Linked DNA regions of Saccharomyces cerevisiae S288C. The gene in region 4 interacts genetically with the main gene of each other region. Each region holds a gene or a part of one and is shown on either strand. Other genes may lie near its edges.

Region 1 (6,050 bases), on a different chromosome or scaffold from region 4:
CCTGTCTGAATGATGCGTTATCATCAAACCCAAATTTGGCGTCTGTACACATGATTTTGTGGGTTGGATCATGTTCAATTTCACTCAAAGGGTTAATCTCCACTTGTGTAGCATCCCTTTCCATGAATATTTTATACAAATTGGAAACAGCTTTTGCTGCCTCGTCTTGTGCATCGGGACTGAAACCGAGACTCTTGGCAACATCCTTGGCCATTTGTGGGCTCAATCCCTTTGAAGTTTCAATTGAAAATTTCTTTATAGCATCTGGGGTTCTCTCAGCCACCTCTTCAATATTCATACCACCTTGACTGGACGCAATGATCATCGGTTTCTTGGTTTGTCTGTCCATTAGAATAGATAAATAAGCTTCATGCTTTGTATCTACTCTTTTCACTATATATACAGCAGATACTGGCTTCCCCGCTATTCCCGTCTGTTTAGTAATCAGGTTATGATTGAGCATTTCTTTTGCAACATCCTCTGCCTGCTGAGGACTTTCGATCATGTGAACACCGCTTTTGTAACCGGTGTCGAAGTGACCTTTACCTCTACCTCCGGTCAATGCCTGCGCCTTGATGACCAGTTTGTTAGTGTTTAATTTCTTGGCTGCTTCGAAAGCCTCTTCGGGAGTGAACGCTGGAAATCCTTCTGGAGTACCAATACCGTATTCCCTCAATAACTGAGCTGACCTGTATTCATGAATTGACAAGTGTCTCCTTGCTTGTAAAGCAGCTTGCGCGTTTAGCCTGCTTAATTGCCCACACTTTGAAATTAGGGATAAGGATTTTCTTGAGTACATTTTGTTCAGTTGCAATGCTTCAGTATTTTTTTCGATTGTATTGACTCAATCCTTATTAATCCTAACTACCTAAAAGTCAGTTACAAAAAAACTGGACTATCGCTCTATAGTCACTGTTATTTTTCGAGAGAAAACGTCAAAGTGCTGATAAGGAAAACGTCGATCTTATATAAAACCTCAAAGATGTTGACTACGCGGCAATTGAAAGGCCAACCAACTTTTAGAATACTCACTCCGCCGCTGCGGGGAAAAGCCGAGAATTCCCGATGAACACATAATCGATACCAGTTGGAGCATTTTTCTCTGTACCAAGACATAAAAAGAGTTTTTTTTAGTATCTACCTGGCTTTGGTGTTCCATTCAAGGTAGAGAAGTCCTCATACAGTTGGAGAGATGAATGTATCTGTGTATATGTATGTATATATTAATATGGCTACGATGTCGTCTAATACCCCTTCTTCTTTTGTTTGGTGATGTGTGCACGTAACACTTTTTGCTTGTCTCGTAGTGACATTTTTTGTTTACCTCTAACAGATCTCTTGTGAATAGACATAACAAAGTTCTTCCTTCTTTCTTTTTCTCTGTTGGTAGTAGAACGCATGTTGTCACGCTTACCGCGTCTACTACCAAATTTGTCTCTACCTTCACGACCTTCCAACACCTTTTGTAATCTTTCCTCACGAGACTGTTTGTATTTGATAGGGCCTGTTAGTGTACTTGCATCAACTAACTCTTCACGCTTGTCTTGTTTGTGGATACCCATTATTTTAGCAACGCTTTCCTCATTACGCAATTCTTGTAGTTTAGCGAAATCTGCCGGAGTTAAAATACGTGTAGAAGCAATTTCACGGAAGGCAGCTTCGGGATCTATATCTGCATCTTCTTGCTCATCCTTCACTTCTTTTTCATCGTCATCATCGCTTAGTTCCAAATCGGAATCTGATTCCTTGCCCTTAGCATTGTCTTTTTCATCGTCACTATCTTCCATATCAACGTCATATTCTTTATCACTATCCATGGTGACCCACTCACCGTCGACATCGTCTTCTTCGCTATCGACATCTACTTCCCAGTTGGCATCAGCGTCTTCATTTTCACTCTCTTCACCATGTTCTTTCTTCCATTTGGCTAACAGTTCGATACCAGCAATCCCTTGAACACTGTTGTCGGCACCAAATTGCGGTCTTTTTGAATCTTTACCTCCTTTCTTGGCTTCTTGTACTTCCATGGCGGCATTCTTACCACGATCCTTCTTCTTTAGCATTTCTGGTGCCACGTCTCTATACAACGCTATCAATGACTTGGCAGCCATATTGACACCTTTAGCTTTAGACCCCTTATATTCTACCAGATCCTGTAGTAGAATCTCATCGATAGCCAAAGGTGCACGAGAGCATATTTCTCTAATGGTATTAATGCCTGCAGCAGCGACTTCATTGGCAACACCGTCTGATACAAACTCGTCTGCAATCTTTCTCACCATGACATTTATAACTTCAGGAGGGACAAGATCATGACATGCTTGGGCACATGCGGACATAATTCTTGTAACATCTCTTTGTTTCGGAGTTAAGTACTTTAAAAAAAAAGTATAAATTCCTAAAACAATTAACTTATGGGTACCAATCAACCTTGATAACAGCTGCATCAAAGATATTTTTTGTTCCATGTCAAATTTGTTTTTCGTTTTGCCTGAAAGATGTTCCTTAAACAATTTTTCGGCAAATCCTTGTGGATCTCTCAAAAGGTGGATAGCACTGAAGTTTAAATACCCTTGAGGAGCACCCGGTCCGTTCTTCTTCTTCTTCTTCACAGTTTTTATGGCATTCTCCAGCTTCTTACCACGTCTACCCGTTTTTTTATTGACTTGCATCTTATGCCTTAATGCATCTAAATCAAACCCATCCTCATCCTCGGAATTTTCTTCAAAATTTTCTTCACGTTCTCTGTCAGCATCCAAAAAAAACATCACACCAGACATGACAATCTTAACATCCTGATGTAATGCTGCTTGGGTCATAATTTCTACTGTTCTTGAATCATCCCAAATACCACGTCTCCAAAGTTCTCTGGTTAATTTTGTGGCCCAGATTCCCTGGGAATCTGGTTGATCTAACAAATTAAAGCAAACGGCCTGCGTAGATTTGTTCAATTTTTGATTTTTACCATTAGTATTACAACTTTTTAATAAAGAAATTAAATTTGTATAAATGATTTTCCTCAATTCCTTGGCGTGTGAATTAACGCCGAGTGAATTACCATGGGAAGAGTAAGCAACCAATAAAGGAAATAAGCTTTGAATTAATTCCTCAGCAGTAATGACGTCCTTATTCCTTAACATCGTCAAACAACTTAAGATTTTTTCTTTCAATTCAAATGGCAAGGACTTATGGTGTTCCAGCAAAAGCTGCTTTAATTCAGACGGGAAGTTTGCAGTTTCACGAGGAAAACATGAGCAGACTTGAGATACGAAGCCAACCAATTCAATAAGTTGCGAAGTTGAAGTGCTCATGGTGGTACCGTTAGTACCTGCCATTGTAGAAGATCCATTTCCTACATCGAGCCCATTAGTGGCAGCTGCAGAATCACCTCCAGCAAGCCCATTTAACATAAAAATGTCCCTTAGCGATTCATAATGTGCATATTGTTGAAGAAACTCCTCTTGATAGGACTCTGGGTCACGCTTTACCAAATTCTGTAAAAGAATGATATTTGTTGGGAGCATAGCTGCTCTACTTCTTCTACCCATTGTTGATGCCCTTGATTGGTATATTCAGTGCGTCTTGTGCTTCCTCCTTAACTATTATTACTTATTCAAAAAAGTGACGTTTGATATGTTTTTTTAGTGGTAGAACGTTCTATCTGTTAAGCGTGTTATGGTTATCTGCGATGAGATGAGTTTAAAATTTTCATTTTTTAGCCGATCAAGCAAAAGAAAAGAAAAAAAAAAAAAACTGAAATTTCCACCTTACCCGTTTTTTTAATGGAACAGTGATTGTTACGACATTGAGATTTTAGATTTATATAATCACATACATATTAAATAGTTAATGCACCTTTAATTCTTTTGCACTTCATGTTCTATATATTTTAGCCAAAACCAAATGTATTGCGTCTTTATTTCCGTTCCCTTTTTCCTTCCTAGGGTTGATTACCTAAACGTTACCTAAACAAACCGTCAATGGCGTCGTAATTAATCTTCTTGGAGAAACTTGCCTTCTGCAACATGTTCTTGACACTATCAGCAGTTGTGAAATCACCACTTTCCTCAGCTGCCTTCAATGCAGCGTGTAAACCAGACTTATCTTGTAAGTCTGACATCAATCCGATAGCTGCTGCTGCATCCACAGTTTTTGTAGGTTCGTCACTTCTAGTATTATTCCTACGTCTCGTACGTTTTTTTTTCACTGATGTGTTACCTGTGGCAATATCTGCCTCCTGTTTCAAACGTTTACTCTCTTGTTCAAGTAAGAAATCTGCGTTCAGACCAATCCAAATTCTTTCCTTCAATTTAGAAGCTTCCTCGTTTAATAGGTGCGCGTTTAACTCCTCATCATCAACATCTTCTAAATTATCTGGGTCGTCACTAACTTTCGAAAGGTATGTGTCCGTTGTGGGTAACAAGTGTAAATTGCGAGGACAATATGGGTCTGTTTCTAGAGAGTAACCATCAATGGCATCTTGAAAATGCCCAGATTCGTTCTCTTTCTTTTCTTCTGATGTTTTTGTCTTTACCTTCTTGACTTTTTCCTCAGTCCCTTCCGTCTCTTTGTCTTCCCCTTCAACATGCTCGTTCTGGATAGAAACTTCAGAAAGTTTGCGTTTCCTTGTTTCGTTTTCAGAACCTTCATGGTATATATTTTCACCATCTATACCATTAGTAGCCTTAATCCTCTCCACAACACGGGCCCTTCTTTCTGAAAATTGTTTTAAGTAAAACAGGACTTCCTTGGAAGACAGTTCTTGTTCTCCTAATACTTGCGTCAAAATTGGATTTTTATTCAATGCTTCTTCACTTGTTTGAAACATCTCTTCTTTGTCTAAAGAGTCCTTTATTTTTCTTTCTTTCTTTCTGTTCTTCACAAAGGAGGGAGGCCTAGCCTCACCGTCTTCCACATCATTTTCTCTAAATTTTTGAACTGAAAGTTTAGCAGCCTTTGTATTTTTGAATTCGTTCAACCGTTGCTGTAAAGTTTCCTCGGCGACATGTGAAACTGCGACGATCTCTGTATGAGTTCTTCTCAAATTATTCATCCTGCAAGCTAGTAGAATACATGCGCCGGCAATACCTGCAGGTCTACGTCCTTCAAACATCCAGTCCTTGGACATTCTTTGAGCCAATTTTACGGCATCTTTTACCACTTTGATCTTCTTGTCAGCAAGATCCAATTTTTCGGCAAAATGTTGAATGAATAAGGAAGGATCCGCTAACGGCAATTCTGTGATATGTAATTTCTTTACCATTTTCAAAAATGTGGCTCCTATGGAATACACACTCACCTGTAACCTTGAAGAGAAGTCGATCAGCATATGATGCGTCTTTTCCTTTCTACATGCAACGTAAAGACATGAAGCGATAACATTTTGGGACCTACGACCTTGTACAAAGTTATTAGCCAATGCAAGCTTATACCATTGGAAAGCAGCATCTGTGATATATTCCGGGATATGTAATGCGTAAGAAACGGCGCGTAATTTCCTTCTTGCATTGTTCAATGTGGCTTCTCTAGATTCTAGAGCACTAGAACCACCAAATGCAGCATGACTTTGTCCTGCACCGATAAAAGAACCTTGTACTACAGCAGCACCTGCACTTGTTTCACCGAATGTAACTTCAGAGACGATAGGATTATCTTCTGAGACAACACCACAAGCTTTACAAACTAAATCGTTGTTAGCATTGGAAAGATCTCTCTCAAATTCGGTTCCGTGACAGTTCTTACACACTGGCATTGGTATATGACTATGGACTCTTTTTTATTACCGTTTTTACCATTGGGATTGTTCTTGATGCGATCAAAAATATGATTTTTTTTATCATACCTGATACTTCGCGAAAACCTTAGAATAGCAAATAAGGCCATCGCAACATTAATAGACAAAAATTAGAGTCACTTCACTTCGTTGATTTTTGATAGCGACGGCCGTGACCATTGCAAGATTTCTAATGAGGGGAAGAACAACTTTTCTTGTAGATTACCTCCACTTTAATCGGATGTCTTTTTTTACGTCCAAGAGTATTCAATGTCAT
Region 2 (4,565 bases), on a different chromosome or scaffold from region 4:
TTCCGGCTGAATATAAAACCAGAATGCAAAAGTTCCATCACTTCGTAATATAGAGGAAACCTGCTGAAACAGCCTTTCTAAATTGCACCAATGGATGGCTTCTGCTGAAATAACCATATCTACACTTTCTGGTCGAATGCTGGATAAATCTTCACCAGGCGCATTAATAAATCTAATCTTTTTATCTAATCTACGTTCATTTGTTTCTTTCTCAGCAATCGAAAGCATAGCAGAAGAAGGATCAATCCCAATCACTTCCTTAAAATAGGGTTCAACGACAAAAGTTGCTTTTCCTGTGCCACATCCAATATCAACCAAACTTTTGCGTGTGCCTTTGTGAAATTTCATTATCTCATTGACTAAAGATAAAGGGTAAGAGGGACGTACGTTATTATAGTGAGCAGATTCAAAATTTTTGTTTAAATAACTAGTTTTAGGCATTCTGGATTCTTCCATTGACAGAAGACTGGCTTTGAAGATGTACTGAGTGTAAAAGGGTTAACTTGAATTTGCCCCTTTAGTTCGTGCCGTTTGTTTATGTTTATATACGTTCCCTTGGGGCCGCTAATTAGAATGCTAAATATAGATCGTGGAAAACTTTCACTACAAAGCTTCTCGTTGTTGTGTTGGCTGAACATATACTAATGAACTGTTTAAATCAGGATTATGGACCGGTGAGGGAACATAATCATCTCTTCATGCCTGAACCTGTATGCCACGATGATGGAAGGCATACCATTATTCATACTGTACTTGCACCTCTTCTGAACTACGCTAGAATTTATTCTTCAGAAAATACCAGGGATATCCTTATAGATTTTTTTTTTTTGGCATAATCAACTCTCTTGGGTATCTTGCCGCATTCATTTTACATGTAAAGTCCAGCGAGATACCTTGGCAACTAAATTACAAGCAGTCTCTATGAAATTCAATAATGTGCCAAGTTGTTAGGTCAACAATTTCAAAAAGCGTAAGAAGCCGCACAATGGCTTGCATAAGCTATAATAATAATAGTAATCCAATATTTCTTATAATAAATAAACTCAACAGGAATTGTAAAAAAGTATGTATCTATGTGAATAAAGTGAGAGAAAAACAGATCCTCTGAGAGGAATTCTCGTTTTTTTTTTTTGGGGGGGGAGGGGATGTTTACCTTCATTATCATTAGTTCAAGTCGGCAACAGTTTTTGACCAGTTACCATAATTGACTCTACCGTATTGGATATCAGCAATCCATTGAGCAACTTGCTTGGTCAATGCACCACATTGTTCACCAGGCAATAGTGGAACATGAATATCTTCGTTGTTCCAGCCAATTTCCTTGATAGGTGAAACGACAGCAGCAGTACCAGAACCGAAGGCTTCTAATAGTTCACCTTGTTTTGCTCTAGTGGCGACTTCAGTAATAGTGTAATAACGCTCGTTGATGTCCCATTCTTGAGGATCTAGTTTGTCACGAGCCAATGTTAAAACAGAGTCTCTGGTAACACCTTCTAAAATGGTACCATCTAATGGAGCGGTAACCAATTCCTTCTTGCCAGTGACTTTGTTGAGGAAAACGAAGAACACGTTCATAGTACCAACCTCAGTGATGTTCTTTTCTGGGCCGAACAACCATAGATTTTGTTGGTACCCTCTTTTGGCAGCTTGTAGTTGAGGTAAGATGCATGGGGCATAGTTAGCACCCAATTTTTTGTCGCCAACACCACCTGGCCAAGCTCTTGTAGCATAGTCTGTTGCTTCAAGACGTACGGCTTTGAAACCAGTCTTATAATAAGGACCGACTGGAGAAGTAATAACATAAAGAAGAGCCTCGGAGGGAGTGCCAACACCTAAACCCTTGGATGTACCAATCATTGTTGGTCTGATGTATAATGAGTAACCATTACCTTGAGGAACCAAGTGTTTATCTTGTTCGATCAATTTCCCGGTAAGTTTGATCAATTCTTCAGATTCGAAAGTTGGCAAACAAATTCTAGCGGCAGACTTGTTCATACGGGCCATGTTCTTATCCGGACGGAACATGGTGATAGTATTTTGAGGAGTTCTGTAGGCTTTCAAACCTTCAAATAATTCAAATGCATAATGGAATACACAAGCAGATGGGTCAAGAGAAAGATTACCGTAAGGCTTGATGTGTGGAGTGCCCCACCCTTCTTTGGCTGACCAAGGAATGGTCAACATATGATCGGTGAATGTCTGGCCGAACACTAATTCTTCATTTGGTCTTGGCTTGGATGGATTTGGGTTTCTAGTAATTTTTAGTTTGGATGCATCTAATGGGGCACCAGTAGCGAGTGTTCTGATGGAGAATTTCCCCAACTTCAAGGAATGTCTCTGCAACATGTTTTAGTATGCTAAGGTTCTAGCTGATTTTGCGTTTATAGGGTGATTTATTCTAACGAAAACATGTAGTTGTTACCACTAGCTCTCTTTATAGTGCCATTTTTTTCAGATGCTTTTTTTTTTTCAAAGCTTAAAGGCCGGTACCGGCAAACACAATAGAATTTTGAGTCATAAGAAGGCAATATGGATCGGATGGGCCATTAAACAAAAAGAGAGCCAATTCATCAGTAATAATAGCGACAGCCGGTATGAAATCTGCACAAAGTATCAACCGCCTGGCCTCTATCAGTAAGATCATTCAATCAACCGTACACGCGGTACTTATCCAGCGTTAACATTTACGCTTTACAGTTCAGCTAAAAAAGAACACATTATCTAGTTAATGCCTGGGAAGGCCCTGGCAAGATACACTTTATCTAAATTATCTACTGCTCGCAAGGCAATGCTATCAATTTGAGAAGTGCAGAAGGAAATGCCATCAAGCTTGTGGTGCGCATTTCACTTTTAAGGATAATAACAGAATTTAATGGCTTGATATGGACGGGCGGTTTGCGAGCCTTACTATTGATAGGAGTATTCGTCAAGTCCAGGGCGCCAATGTGACTTATCGCGCTGTGGGTGGGTAATTCTACCTCAGTTTGCTTCTCGAGGAGTTTGTAGCATAAATCTCGTTAGAATAGTCAAACATACGGTATCTTTCTTTCTCTTGAAAAATTAGTACAGTCTACAAGTTTTCCTCATTGGCTTTCAGACGAGCATTTGATTGTCAAGTACTTTCCGGACCACCTGCGATAGTTTCCCTTGTCTACTTGAGCAGATATGCTCTTACTGACTAGCAAGAATGATAACAAATTTTATCAGTAAACCCTTTCCTTGCCGTAATTTTTTTTATTTTAGCTTCGTAATTTTTTTTTTCGTATTATTTTTCTTTTTCTTTTTCTTTCTTGATATCATAATCATGGGGAACTTCTCCATATAACAATAGAAGCTAAATAGGTAAATAACCAAGCGTGCACTGATACAAAATAACGAAAAGTGGCACAAAAATGACATTGACTATCAAAATAGGAACCTTAAACGATAGCGATCAATCTGCAGTGCATAATGGTACAGAAAATGGCTCTGATTTTCGAAAGATAACTCCCACAGAGGAAGAGATCTGTGATGACGTAGTTTTGTTATGGAAGGAAGAGCCCGGAACTGAAGACGCTACGATTCAGCATCTTTATGACAGGATTACGGAAAGAAATCAATCGTGGAAATTGAGTGCTTCTCGTTTTCGAAAAATTCTAAATGAGCACCATCTTTATGACACAGATCTAGAGACCGTTTCTCTATATAAAGATAAAATACATTTTCCAAAAGCCCTAGATTCTGATGCTAAGGTCGAAGTGAAATTTATTGATGACGAACATGGAAGGGGCCTTTTCGCTAAAAGAGATTTTTCCAAGGGCCAAATCATCCTGAAAGAAAATAAACCTATCGTATATATTCCACCACTGGACAAGCTTTTTTTAATATCTAATGGAAAGGCATGTGCTCGATGTGGTAAGGCGCTATATGATTTGACCCAGCACAAAATTATGGTCCATTATTTGGATTGTGAAGTTTGCAAAGCTATTTGGTGCAGTGAAAAATGTAAAAAAGCACATGCGTCGTTACATGAGCTTTTATACCACTCATGGAGATCGAATAGAATAGACATTCTTCATGCTGGTAATTGGAAAAGATTTGTTAACTACTGTGAGAAATATTGTTTTACCGCTGCCTTTTCAGTTGGTCTTATATATGGATCCATGCTTTTGGATACTACAGGAGAGGTCAAAGAGCAATGGCAAAAATTGGCAAGCATCTCACAAAGGGAAAGAATTAAATTAAGAGACGCCAGCGGTATCGGCAGTACGTTTAGTTTACTGAATGGTACAACTGTACATACTGAAGAGGAATCTGATAATGGTACCAAAAAGGGCGTTGAGAAGAATATTGATGACGAGACTGTTTGGGAGAAGTGCTACGAATTATTTTGCGGTGCATTTCCAAAAGCTTCTGAAGAAATAGATTTCGAGAAATTTTTGACCATGATCGGGACGTTCAATATCAATCAATATAACGGCCAGGTATATCATTGGATCTCCTTCATAAACCATGATTGTGAACCAAACGCCTATATTGAGCAAGTAGAAGAACATGAGGAACTGAGGTTGCATGCAAGGAAACCA
Region 3 (4,623 bases), on a different chromosome or scaffold from region 4:
AATACCAGGATGTCGGAATTGATATCGCTTCTCCGTGCAATTATGGCGGGAGGGAAGAGTTGGAGCTATTTAAAGAAGTTTTTAGTGAAAGAGAATTTAACGGTTTACTGAAAGCGTCTGATCCATGCACAATATTTACTTACTTATGGTCCTTGAAGGAGTCGTATACAAAATTTACTGGAACTGGCCTTAACACAGACTTGTCACTAATAGATTTTGGCGCTATCAGCTTTTTTCCGGCTGAGGGAGCTTCTATGTGCATAACTCTGGATGAAGTTCCATTGATTTTCCATTCTCAATGGTTCAATAACGAAATTGTCACTATCTGTATGCCAAAGTCCATCAGTGATAAAATCAACACGAACAGACCAAAATTATATAATATCAGCTTATCTACGTTGATTGATTATTTCATCGAAAATGATGGTTTATAATGCCAATTTTTTTTTTTCGCTTGCTCACATTTATGTAATCGATAGACTCTTATTACTGTTTGAACTTCAAAAACAGCACCTTTTACTAAAATCATTAAATATTTCTTGAGGTATGCATAATTCTCCATTAAATTTCCCCTCAATTAATGCTAACGCAGCGCTCCCTAGACAGCTGTGATATAAATCAGCATCTTCTTCGTCATTTTTACTAAAGCCTCCAGTTAATGTTTTTTGCGTTCGATCAAGCAAATAATTTGTGACTAGTTCAGTTTGGCATAGCATTTTCCAATCCTTTGTTAGTAAGTGTAGTGAATTTAAGCACCAAAATGCGTAACACGTATCAGCGAACTTGTTCTCCCTTCCCTGGAAACCGCCATCATCAGATTGATCATAGCTGGCATTCAATTCGCTTTCAAATTTCATACATCCATGGCTTGATACTTGCCTATGTAATAGCCAGGTTATGGTGTCTTCTTTAAACTTGTCTGATAGCTTTTCCAAACTAGAGAGTAAAGCTAAGGTAGACAGCGCACAAGATGTGTACCCTGAGTGTGGTTCATTGTGGGCACCGAAAGCTCCGTTGTAGCATTGTTGCGACATTATATAGCCAAGCAACTTCTCAGTATCAATGTATTCATCAAAGTCTTCTTTGGATCGGCATCCGCATATGTACAGAATGGCAACTGCGATGTAGCAAAACCTTAAATCGTCTGAATCAACCGAAGATCCACAATTTGTCTTATAGTCTAAACAAGATACAAACGAGCCACGGTCAGGTCGTTGGCACTTAGAAACAAATCTCGCCAGGCTTCTTTTGTCTAGTATAGTCTCAAAATACTCGTAATCTCTCAGCATAATCATGGACAACAATGCAAAGAGAGTATTTGGTAGATTAATCGTTGTTGCGTGAGGGATATTCATGACTAAGCTTCCAACAAATCCAGATATCACAGTATTTTCTGTATCATCCAGCACTGTTTTGATATAATGTTTGCGCATCCAGCCAAGATGATCGCCGTACTTCGCAGAAACGTTAACATCAAATATAGAGAGTCCTGAGATTGAGTAGAATATTATCGCCATTCTGTTCACGTCATGTCCCTGATGTGAAGAGGGAAGCAACTGTAGATGTCTTTCGAAAAATTTCCTATGCTTTTTAGTCACAACTCTACTCGGGCCATTGGTAGCTTGACACATTTTTCCACGATATAGCGGTGGGCAGAAGTGCTTGAAAGTACTTGTTCACGTTGGATAAATAAAGGTTTTCTTAAAATTGAAATTTAAATTGCTAGAGATGACTTGGGGGTTAGTGACCAAGTAATAGTTTTGAACTGGCGGGTGTTTTGATTGTATACTATAGTCACTGAAACTATTGCTTTTCCATTCTTCCAAGGCGCAACAACTCAGAAAAAAAAAAACAAGTGAATAAAACAGGTAAAAAAGAAGATCATTTAAAGGTTTTACAAGTGTGATATAAATTTTATTTTTTTGCTTTTTTATTTAGCATTATTTACTTATATGTATTTTGTTAAGACTATTTTTGGTTATCATGATAGAAATGGCATAAGTTTGGGAGTGAGTGAATGTAAAAAACAGTGAGGGAGACAAACTCAGAAATACAACCTGAATGAGGCAATCTCAAAAGGTCTCAATTTAATGGGAATTCTGTTTATTGCATGATTTGATTCGTCTCGCGTTGCTGTCAAACTCTTATAAACTTTCATCTCCAAGTTATCGACCTTCTCAATACGCTTCAAATTTAGTGTGGTATTTAGTGAAGCAAAAGATTCCCCGCCAAGAGATTCGTAAACCCTTACCACAATACTTTGTTCATCCCTTGGATTTAATGAATAGTTGGACTTGACAGCACTATCATCTTCGCCTCTTTTTATGTTAGACAAAATGACATTCTCATCTCCGGAAATGCTTATGATGTCATCAAAATTCATGCCAATATCTTTGGGGAGTTTGTATTTGAAGCAATAATTGAATTCGTGAGCGAGCTTAACAGTGTCGCTTGATAGTGCTCCTCTATGTGGATAGATAGCATATTTTATCTCATGAGTACCCATATCAGCATGCGCATCCGGAGCCTTTGGTGACCTTAATAATGATAATCTCATCAAGTTACCGTGTGTGGAAAACCCATATTTGCAATCGTTCAAAATTGAAACACCCTTGCTGTATTCAGAATAATCAGCAAATTTGTGATGGCAAACCTCAAATTTAGCGACGTCCCATGAGGTATTATAATGTGTTGGTCTTTTGGTAATCCCGAATTGAGTTTCATACGAAGCAAAATCGTTCCGAATATTAACGGGAAATTCAACTTTTAAAAATTTGTTTCTAGCATCCCAGTTTTCTACCGTCGTAGAAATGTCTACTTTACTTAATTTAGCATCAGTGACCGCAGTTGCATTGAGTGATATCACTGATTTGATTTTGCATTTTTCGGAAATTTGAAAAATGACCTCAACAGCACATTTCTCTTTTGTGTTGCAGGAAACTTGAACTTTCTTCGGCTTTGTTACATACTTGTATTGGTTGACGGAATAAAGTTCAGTATCCCAAGCCTGCCAGCCCAAAGGTTTATCATCATAAATAACAAACTGGTTGGCGCCCAATTTGTTTCTGCCATGTTCCGTGTCCAGGTATTCTACCCCCAAAGTTTCATCCGTAATGCTTGTGATCACCCCAGTCTTTTTGCAAATGATAACTTTCAACTTCCCATTGGCAAGGACTATATAGTCATCGTACCCGGTTACAGAGGACGTGTAACTACCGTTCAACGAGCACTCCTCAGAAACCTTTTCTGGTTTTGACCAAGTTAATGTTCTCATCTCAACCAAATCTGCCTTACTCTGACTCTGAAGAAATTGAACGGTTTTGTCTATTAAGGAAGTACATTCTTTCACAACGTTGTGCAACATAGGGACAGCCTCATACTTATATACCATTTCAATACATGATCCTGGTAGAACATCGTGAAATTGACATAACAAAACATTCTCCCAAAGTTCGTTAATCTGTTTGGAAGGGTATTTATACGAATCGGGATATAAAACTGATGTTTTGGCAGCTATCCATTCCAAATCATGTAGTTTAATTTCGGACAACCTCATTAATTTTTTGGTCTGAGCTTGACTGGTGTATGTCCCCCTATGAAATTCGAAATACAATTCACCACTCCATGTGGGTAAATCATGGCCTTGGTTAGTCCTTTTCAAAATGTCATCATAAAATTCATCAACCGTTATACCAACTTGTAACTTTGGAATAACATTACCATTTCTGTTATTCATGGATCTAATACGCCTCATTTTTTGCAGCATTTCCTCAGTTGGTCCTCCACCACCATCACCCTTTCCGTACAACATTAAACCGGAGCCGTAATATTCTGGTGTCTTATTCTGCTTGGCAGTACGCAAAACATCACCGAAGTGTGAATCTGCTGTATACGTATTACCAGGAGGCATGTGAGTCAATAATTGAGAACCGTCAATCCCTGCCCAGTTAAACGTGCTATGCGGAAAACTGTTGATGTTATTCCAGGAAAGCTTTTGAGTCAAAAATTTATCAATACCAGATAAGCGGCAAAGTTGTGGCATTTGCGAAGAATAACCAAAGGTGTCAGGTAACCAAAATATCTTTGACTTGAGACCAAAATGCTTCAAGAAAAACCTTTGACCAAAAAAGAATTGCCTTGCCAGCGATTCCCCTGAGGGAATATTGGTATCATTCTCAACCCATGTACCACCAACAGCAAAAAACTGAGATTGCTGAATTTTTGGAATTAACACTTTATTGAAAAATTCGGGATGATCTTCTAATAACCATTTAAATTGTTGGGCTTGTGAAGCAACAAATTTATACTCTGGGAAGCGATCCATTAAAGTACATTGGGAAGACCAAGATCTCACAATTTTCCTTCTTGTTTCTGCGAATGGCCATAGCCAAGCTGTATCTATATGACAGTTGCCGATACCATAAACATTTGTTAAAACTTGAGATTCACCTTGTTCGTAAACCTTACTGCTTTCTAAAAAGGAGTCAAAGTATTCCCTTTGTAGTAATTCACGACATTTACGAACACTTGAACGATCATTCGGGTCAAAAAGATTCATAACTGCATTGCCTAGTTGTCTTGCCTGGTGTTTTTGCCAGGAGTCTCCAGGTAGCTCTCTTGCAG
Region 4 (5,900 bases):
ACAAAAACGCTCCAAAAAAATTCAAAAAGCCTATCGATATTGATGAAACTATCCAAAAATTACTGGATGCGGGCTACGCTGCTAAGAGAACAAAAAATGTTTGTTTGAAGAACAATGAAATTTTACAGATTTGCATCAAGGCTCGTGAAATCTTTCTTTCTCAACCTTCCTTATTAGAATTATCACCTCCTGTAAAAATTGTAGGCGACGTTCATGGCCAATATGGGGATCTCTTAAGGCTTTTTACCAAATGTGGGTTCCCACCATCCTCGAACTATTTATTCCTAGGTGATTATGTGGACCGTGGTAAACAGTCACTGGAGACTATTTTACTATTGTTTTGTTACAAAATAAAATACCCTGAAAATTTCTTTTTATTGAGAGGCAACCATGAATGTGCTAACGTCACAAGGGTTTATGGATTTTATGATGAATGTAAACGTCGTTGTAACATCAAGATCTGGAAGACATTCATCGATACTTTTAATACATTACCATTAGCTGCTATCGTAGCCGGAAAGATTTTTTGTGTTCATGGTGGATTGTCGCCAGTTTTAAATTCTATGGATGAAATCAGACATGTAGTTAGGCCTACTGATGTACCAGATTTTGGCTTAATTAATGATCTTTTGTGGTCCGATCCCACAGATTCACCCAACGAATGGGAGGATAACGAACGTGGTGTAAGTTACTGTTATAATAAGGTGGCAATTAACAAATTCTTGAACAAGTTTGGGTTTGATTTGGTTTGTAGAGCTCACATGGTTGTGGAAGACGGTTATGAATTTTTCAATGATAGAAGTCTCGTTACGGTGTTTTCCGCGCCAAATTATTGTGGTGAATTTGATAATTGGGGGGCTGTAATGAGCGTCAGCGAAGGTTTATTGTGCTCTTTTGAATTGTTAGATCCACTAGATAGTGCAGCTTTGAAGCAAGTTATGAAGAAAGGTAGACAGGAAAGAAAACTGGCTAATCAACAACAGCAAATGATGGAAACAAGCATCACAAATGATAACGAATCTCAACAGTAAATTTACTGACTAAAAAATCCAGAAGTATTATATTCATTATTTCATGAACAACTCAACGATGTACATATGCACATATATATATATATATATATATATATATATATGAAAGACAGGAAATAGAAGTTCCCTATCTTTTTCTTAATGACATTAAAAAACTTCCTTTCATCGCCTACTGCCTTCGCGTGTGTATTGAATGCTCATTCGCTCTATACAATCTAGAACTCTCCGAAATTTCGTTCTACTTTGCTTTCGCTATATTAAGCTGTTTATATAAATTACGTAATGGTATATAGTCATATAGCTAAATTCAATGGTTCGTTTCTATAGATTGGTTCTCCTTAATTTTAATTTTTTATTGCGTATAACGTGAGAGATTATTTTCAACCCCCCCAATACTTACGAAACTTCATAAAACTTCTTTAAGAAATAAGGGCCTATAAAAATTGTGAACTAATCAAGAGAAAATATATAATCAAAATTGATTAATCAGAAAGACGAATTTTTTTTAAAAAAAAAATTCAAAACAACTGAAGGGGAAATGGACAAAAAGCAGCATAAGTAGTAAAAAGTGGAAACAAAATAAGGTCAAAAAAATCTGAGAGGAAAAGGAACGCTATATTACATTACTCAGAACTGCGTAACCGACTAGAACAAAAAAAGGAAATAGAGGAAAAAAAAAAAAAAAAAAAAAAAAGAGAAAAGAAAATTAATGGGTCAGTACATGACTCATAAAGGCATGTCTGTTGTTCTGTTATTGTAGTTGGAGTAGTTACCGCTGCTTCCACGTCCACCACGACTACCTCGATTGTTATATGCGCCTCTGCCAAATCCCCTTCCTCTGCCAAATCCTCTTCCTCTCGAACCTCCATTCATACCGCTGCTGTTATAGTTACCGCGTCCATTGTTCCTTATAGAATCATTATTACCTTGGCCAAGGAACCCACTTGCTGGTTTGAAAATGGAATATTGTTGTGTATTGGATGTTGAGTTCGTGAAATCATTCTTTTTATTTCCTGAGGCATCTAAAGATGAATCCGAGGTTAACCCTTCTTCATTGTTTTGTCGATCATGATATCTTGAACCGTTATTATTATTACTACTACTATTATTATTATTATTATTATTATCATTAGTGTTGTTGTTGTTGTTGTTGTATGAGCTGCCACCACGATATCCGCCGCGATTACCACGATTGTTATGCCCACCTTTATAACTGCTGCCATTGGGGCCTCCACGATATCTATTACTCCCTCTAAAATTGCCATTATTGTTATTATGGTTTCCGTTATATTTGGTTCTGCTCATACTATGTTCCCTTTCCACATTCTTGAAAGTGAACTGTTTATCAACATCGGTTTCTGAACCTTTATCTTTATCATTTGAGACATCTAATTGAGCTTTATCGTCGCCACCTTTCTCAAAGCCTTGTTCATCGCCACCTTTGAACTCGTCCGATTTATCGGGCTTAGATTGTAGTTCAAGAGCTGGTGAGTCAAGCTTGCTTAATGGAGTTCCTTTCTTGGAAGTTTCATTGACCACAGATCTCTCAACTACTTCAGAGTAACTTAAAGGTTTGGGAGTTGGGGTTGCAGAATGTGATTCCTCCTCTGTAGGTGTCTGCTTTTTCAAGATTGTGATCTTGCTGCCTGTTGCAGTGGTTGCCATAGAATCACTACTAGGGATTAATGATGCCCTCAGGGTTGTTGTATCTTCCACGTGTAAATTTTCCATTTTTTCTTCAATGTCCAAAATCTTCGATTGCGTATCAACCGGTTTAGCACTTCCAAAAGGATTGGATTTTGACCGCTGAGTCTTAGTAATGAATGGTTTGCCAGCATCGTCTTTAGGGTCTGTTAATAATTTCACCTTCGTGCTGTAATCCTTAAAATCTTCGAATTCTGCGGGCGCTGTTGTAATGTGGTAAATTTCCTTCAAAGGAGTGGTCCAATAGTTCAAAATTTTGTCCATATCACGGGATGTATATAACTCGACAAATGCTACCTTCGAGTCACGTTTGAAATTTTGATCAAAGATTGACCCCGATTTCAAAGTAGAAATACTTGGATTTTTATTTATCTCCCAAAACAGTTTGAACTTAATAAACTTGGTAAACTTTGCTTGAAAAAGATCTTCAATGTCAAAGTTGGAAAATCTCGGTGGTAAATCAGAAAACTTCACAATATAAGGAGGACCTTGCTGATGCTGCAGCGGGTGGTGATGATTTGCAAAGTCCCCCATGCTACCACCACCAAAAGGCCCTGCATTAGAAAAACGTGATCTGTTCATGGGTCCATGACCACCGTGTGGGTGCTGTTGGTGACCATCACGTTGATGTTCGCCTGCCTTGGTTTGTTTCAAGATGTCAATATTCGTAGTATTGCTTATAGCATCCAAATTAATATCTTCCTCATCCCATACTGACTCGCCTAAAGTGTCGTTCCCTAGAAATTCTTCTAGGGACATTTTCTTCGTAGTGCCATTATTATTAGATGTATTATTTGTTCCTGAATAGAAACATATGTAGACAATTCCGTGACTTTCTCTTCTTTGCGGAAAACCAAGCTGATTAGAGAAAGCAAAAACATTGCAAGACCATGTCTAATCAGCTTGATTTTTAGAGAAACGATAAAAAAGAAGAAAAGAGGCCAAGAGAGAGCATTGTTCAATTGTTAGTGGCTATTTAAACTTGATCTATTTTCTTAAAAATCCACATGAATATTATATCCTCTTTCATGCAATAATTCCTACGTATGACTGAAACAGAAGAAAATAGTAAACATAAAATACTAAAACAAAAAAAAAAAAGGAAACAAAAGAGGACCGTTATGGATCAAAAGGGGTTAATGAGAAAAACCGAGGCACATACCCATTTCTTCCCGTTCCAGCACTCTATGTGATTAAGATCGAGTGAGCAAACGTGTTTTTCTAGGATGATTTCTTGACCAATTCTTTGTGGAGATAAGCTTTAAAGTCTGAAGAACGTATCTCTGTAGTTCTTCTGTCTCATTTAAAATAACCCAAAATTTCCGAAATTTCAGTGCAGCTCAACCCTAAATTAGACCTAATTGAAATCAGTAGGGTTAGCTCGTATTTGAAATATTACAAAACAAGTCCTATAAAACTCTAATCTTAACCCTTATGTTAGATTTTCAGCACGTGATTTTGCATCTTTTTTAGTTTTGCTTAAAAAATTTTGACCTCTACCTTTTCTCTCTCTGTTTAATCAGGTAATAAAAAGTTCAGCCAAAAAGTGTGGTTGTGAAATTTTATTCTGGCGATGCGCAATCGGAGTCTTTTCTATTTCTTGCAACTCGCAGAAGAAAAGGTATTTTACTACATAAATTGTATATATTCCTTCTCAGGATCAGCAACATAAGATATTGGCTTTGATATTATATTGCATCTTATTGCATTGTGTGTTGTGGTTAAGACAAATAAATAAAGGAAGTTTCTTCTTTTTTTTCCTTCCTTTTTTTCCTCTCTCAGATAAAAGTTCAACAGAGCCATGGTGTCGAAGGATCAAACGTCCTTTAATAAGAGGTGGACCTTGGGTCTTCTGATGTTGGGTCTAGTCATTATTTTGTGGGTTTTATCGTCCTTCCTGATAAATTTGATCTTCGAGGATGACTCGTATAGAAAACCATTCTTTATCACGTACACCAATACTGCCGCCTTTATCTTTTATCTTTTTCCAACTGCAAAGGCCGTTGTGGTGAATTACAAGGACACAGGCCGTGCAAACGTTCACCGCGAACTAATTATGGAGGAAGAAGGTACTGGTAGTGATAGCAATCGCTCGGTTGATATGACTAGCCCACTGCTTACAAACCTTGAAGCAGGCACGCATGCCAACCAAAAGAAGAGGCTAACGTTATATGAAACAATCAAGTTAAGTGCTGAGTTCTGCATACTTTGGTTCACAGCTAACCTTGTGACCAATGCCTCGCTGGCATTCACATCGGTGGCATCGCAGACAATCCTCTCCACTACTTCTTCCTTTTTCACCTTGTTCATAGGTGCTATTTGTCATGTTGAATCGTTGAGCAAGTCCAAAGTACTCGGGTCGTTCATTTCCTTTGTAGGCATAATCATGGTCACCAAATCAGATTCTCATCAGCGCTACCAACGCCATATCGCGGACGTTAGTGGTGATGATAACGATGCCGTGCAAGTTCTGATAGGCAACTTGTTGGCACTTGCAGGTGCTGTACTTTACGGTGTCTACAGTACTTTATTGAAGAGAGAAGTCGGAGATGAGACTCGTGTTAACATGAAGATTTTTTTTGGCTTTGTTGGTCTCTTTAATTTACTTTTTCTATGGCCATCACTGATTGTATTGGACTTTTTTGGCTGGGAACCATTCTCTCTGCCCAAAGATCCTAAAGTTGTGGTAATAATCTTCGTCAATTGTCTCATCACATTTGTTAGCGACTTTTGTTGGGCAAAGGCTATGTTACTAACGAGTCCTTTAACCGTCACCGTAGGATTGAGCATAACGATACCCCTAGCAATGTTTGGTGATGTAATCTTTAAGCACAAAACCATGTCTGCGCTCTATTTATTTGGTGCTACCCTCATCTTAGGCTCATTTTTCATCATTAACAAAAGCTCTGAGGAGGAACATTTTGAGAACTCAATAACGGCTAGCAATTACGAATCAGTGGAGGTGCCAGCAGCAAACAACTGATCTTAAAAAAAAAAAAAATAGAAATAATAAAAAAAACTATTAGCATCTAAATTTCAAAGTCAGAAGAAATTTTTCCCTATATAGAATGTATATTATAATTTTTCTAATAACAATTTCATTCCTGTGTGATTTAATAATCTTAAACATTTTTTTCAGTATCCAGACTAACAAAACAGAGGCCA

What was found.
Region 1: mutations in PSP2 (region 4) and SDA1 together harm fitness more than expected from each alone (negative genetic interaction), as found in Saccharomyces cerevisiae (2 studies listed by BioGRID).
Region 2: mutations in PSP2 (region 4) and BAT1 together harm fitness more than expected from each alone (negative genetic interaction), as found in Saccharomyces cerevisiae (2 studies listed by BioGRID).
Region 3: mutations in PSP2 (region 4) and CDC43 together harm fitness more than expected from each alone (negative genetic interaction), as found in Saccharomyces cerevisiae (2 studies listed by BioGRID).

Annotation. Positions count from the first base shown.
Region 1 is NC_001139.9:978,521-984,570, forward strand, and holds SDA1 (Sda1p), read right to left. Parts: upstream 3,549-6,050; coding exon 1,245-3,548; downstream 1-1,244. Other genes in the region: LSC2 (succinate--CoA ligase (GDP-forming) subunit beta), read right to left, coding at 1-799; transcription factor TFIIIB subunit BRF1, read right to left, coding at 3,962-5,752.
Region 2 is NC_001140.6:515,313-519,877, reverse strand, and holds BAT1 (branched-chain-amino-acid transaminase BAT1), read right to left. Parts: upstream 2,347-4,565; coding exon 1,165-2,346; downstream 1-1,164. Other genes in the region: CRG1 (S-adenosylmethionine-dependent methyltransferase), read right to left, coding at 1-441; SET5 (S-adenosylmethionine-dependent methyltransferase), read left to right, coding at 3,393-4,565. UniProt on the Saccharomyces cerevisiae protein: Mitochondrial isozyme of branched-chain-amino-acid aminotransferase, involved in the biosynthesis of the branched chain amino acids (BCAAs) leucine, isoleucine, and valine.
Region 3 is NC_001139.9:211,089-215,711, reverse strand, and holds CDC43 (protein geranylgeranyltransferase type I subunit CDC43), read right to left. Parts: upstream 1,632-4,623; coding exon 501-1,631; downstream 1-500. Other genes in the region: LYS5 (holo-[acyl-carrier-protein] synthase), read left to right, coding at 1-434; AMS1 (alpha-mannosidase), read right to left, coding at 2,045-4,623. UniProt on the Saccharomyces cerevisiae protein: Catalyzes the transfer of a geranyl-geranyl moiety from geranyl-geranyl diphosphate to proteins having the C-terminal sequence Cys-Ile-Ile-Leu or Cys-Val-Leu-Leu. Acts, among other substrates, on Rho1 and Rho2 and CDC42 proteins.
Region 4 is NC_001145.3:234,589-240,488, reverse strand, and holds PSP2 (Psp2p), read right to left. Parts: upstream 3,902-5,900; coding exon 3,898-3,901; intron 3,536-3,897; coding exon 1,758-3,535; downstream 1-1,757. Other genes in the region: PPZ1 (salt homeostasis regulator), read left to right, coding at 1-1,031; YML018C (uncharacterized protein), read left to right, coding at 4,537-5,718. UniProt on the Saccharomyces cerevisiae protein: DNA polymerase alpha mutation suppressor. Suppressor of group II intron splicing defects of a mutation in MRS2. May play a role in mitochondrial mRNA splicing.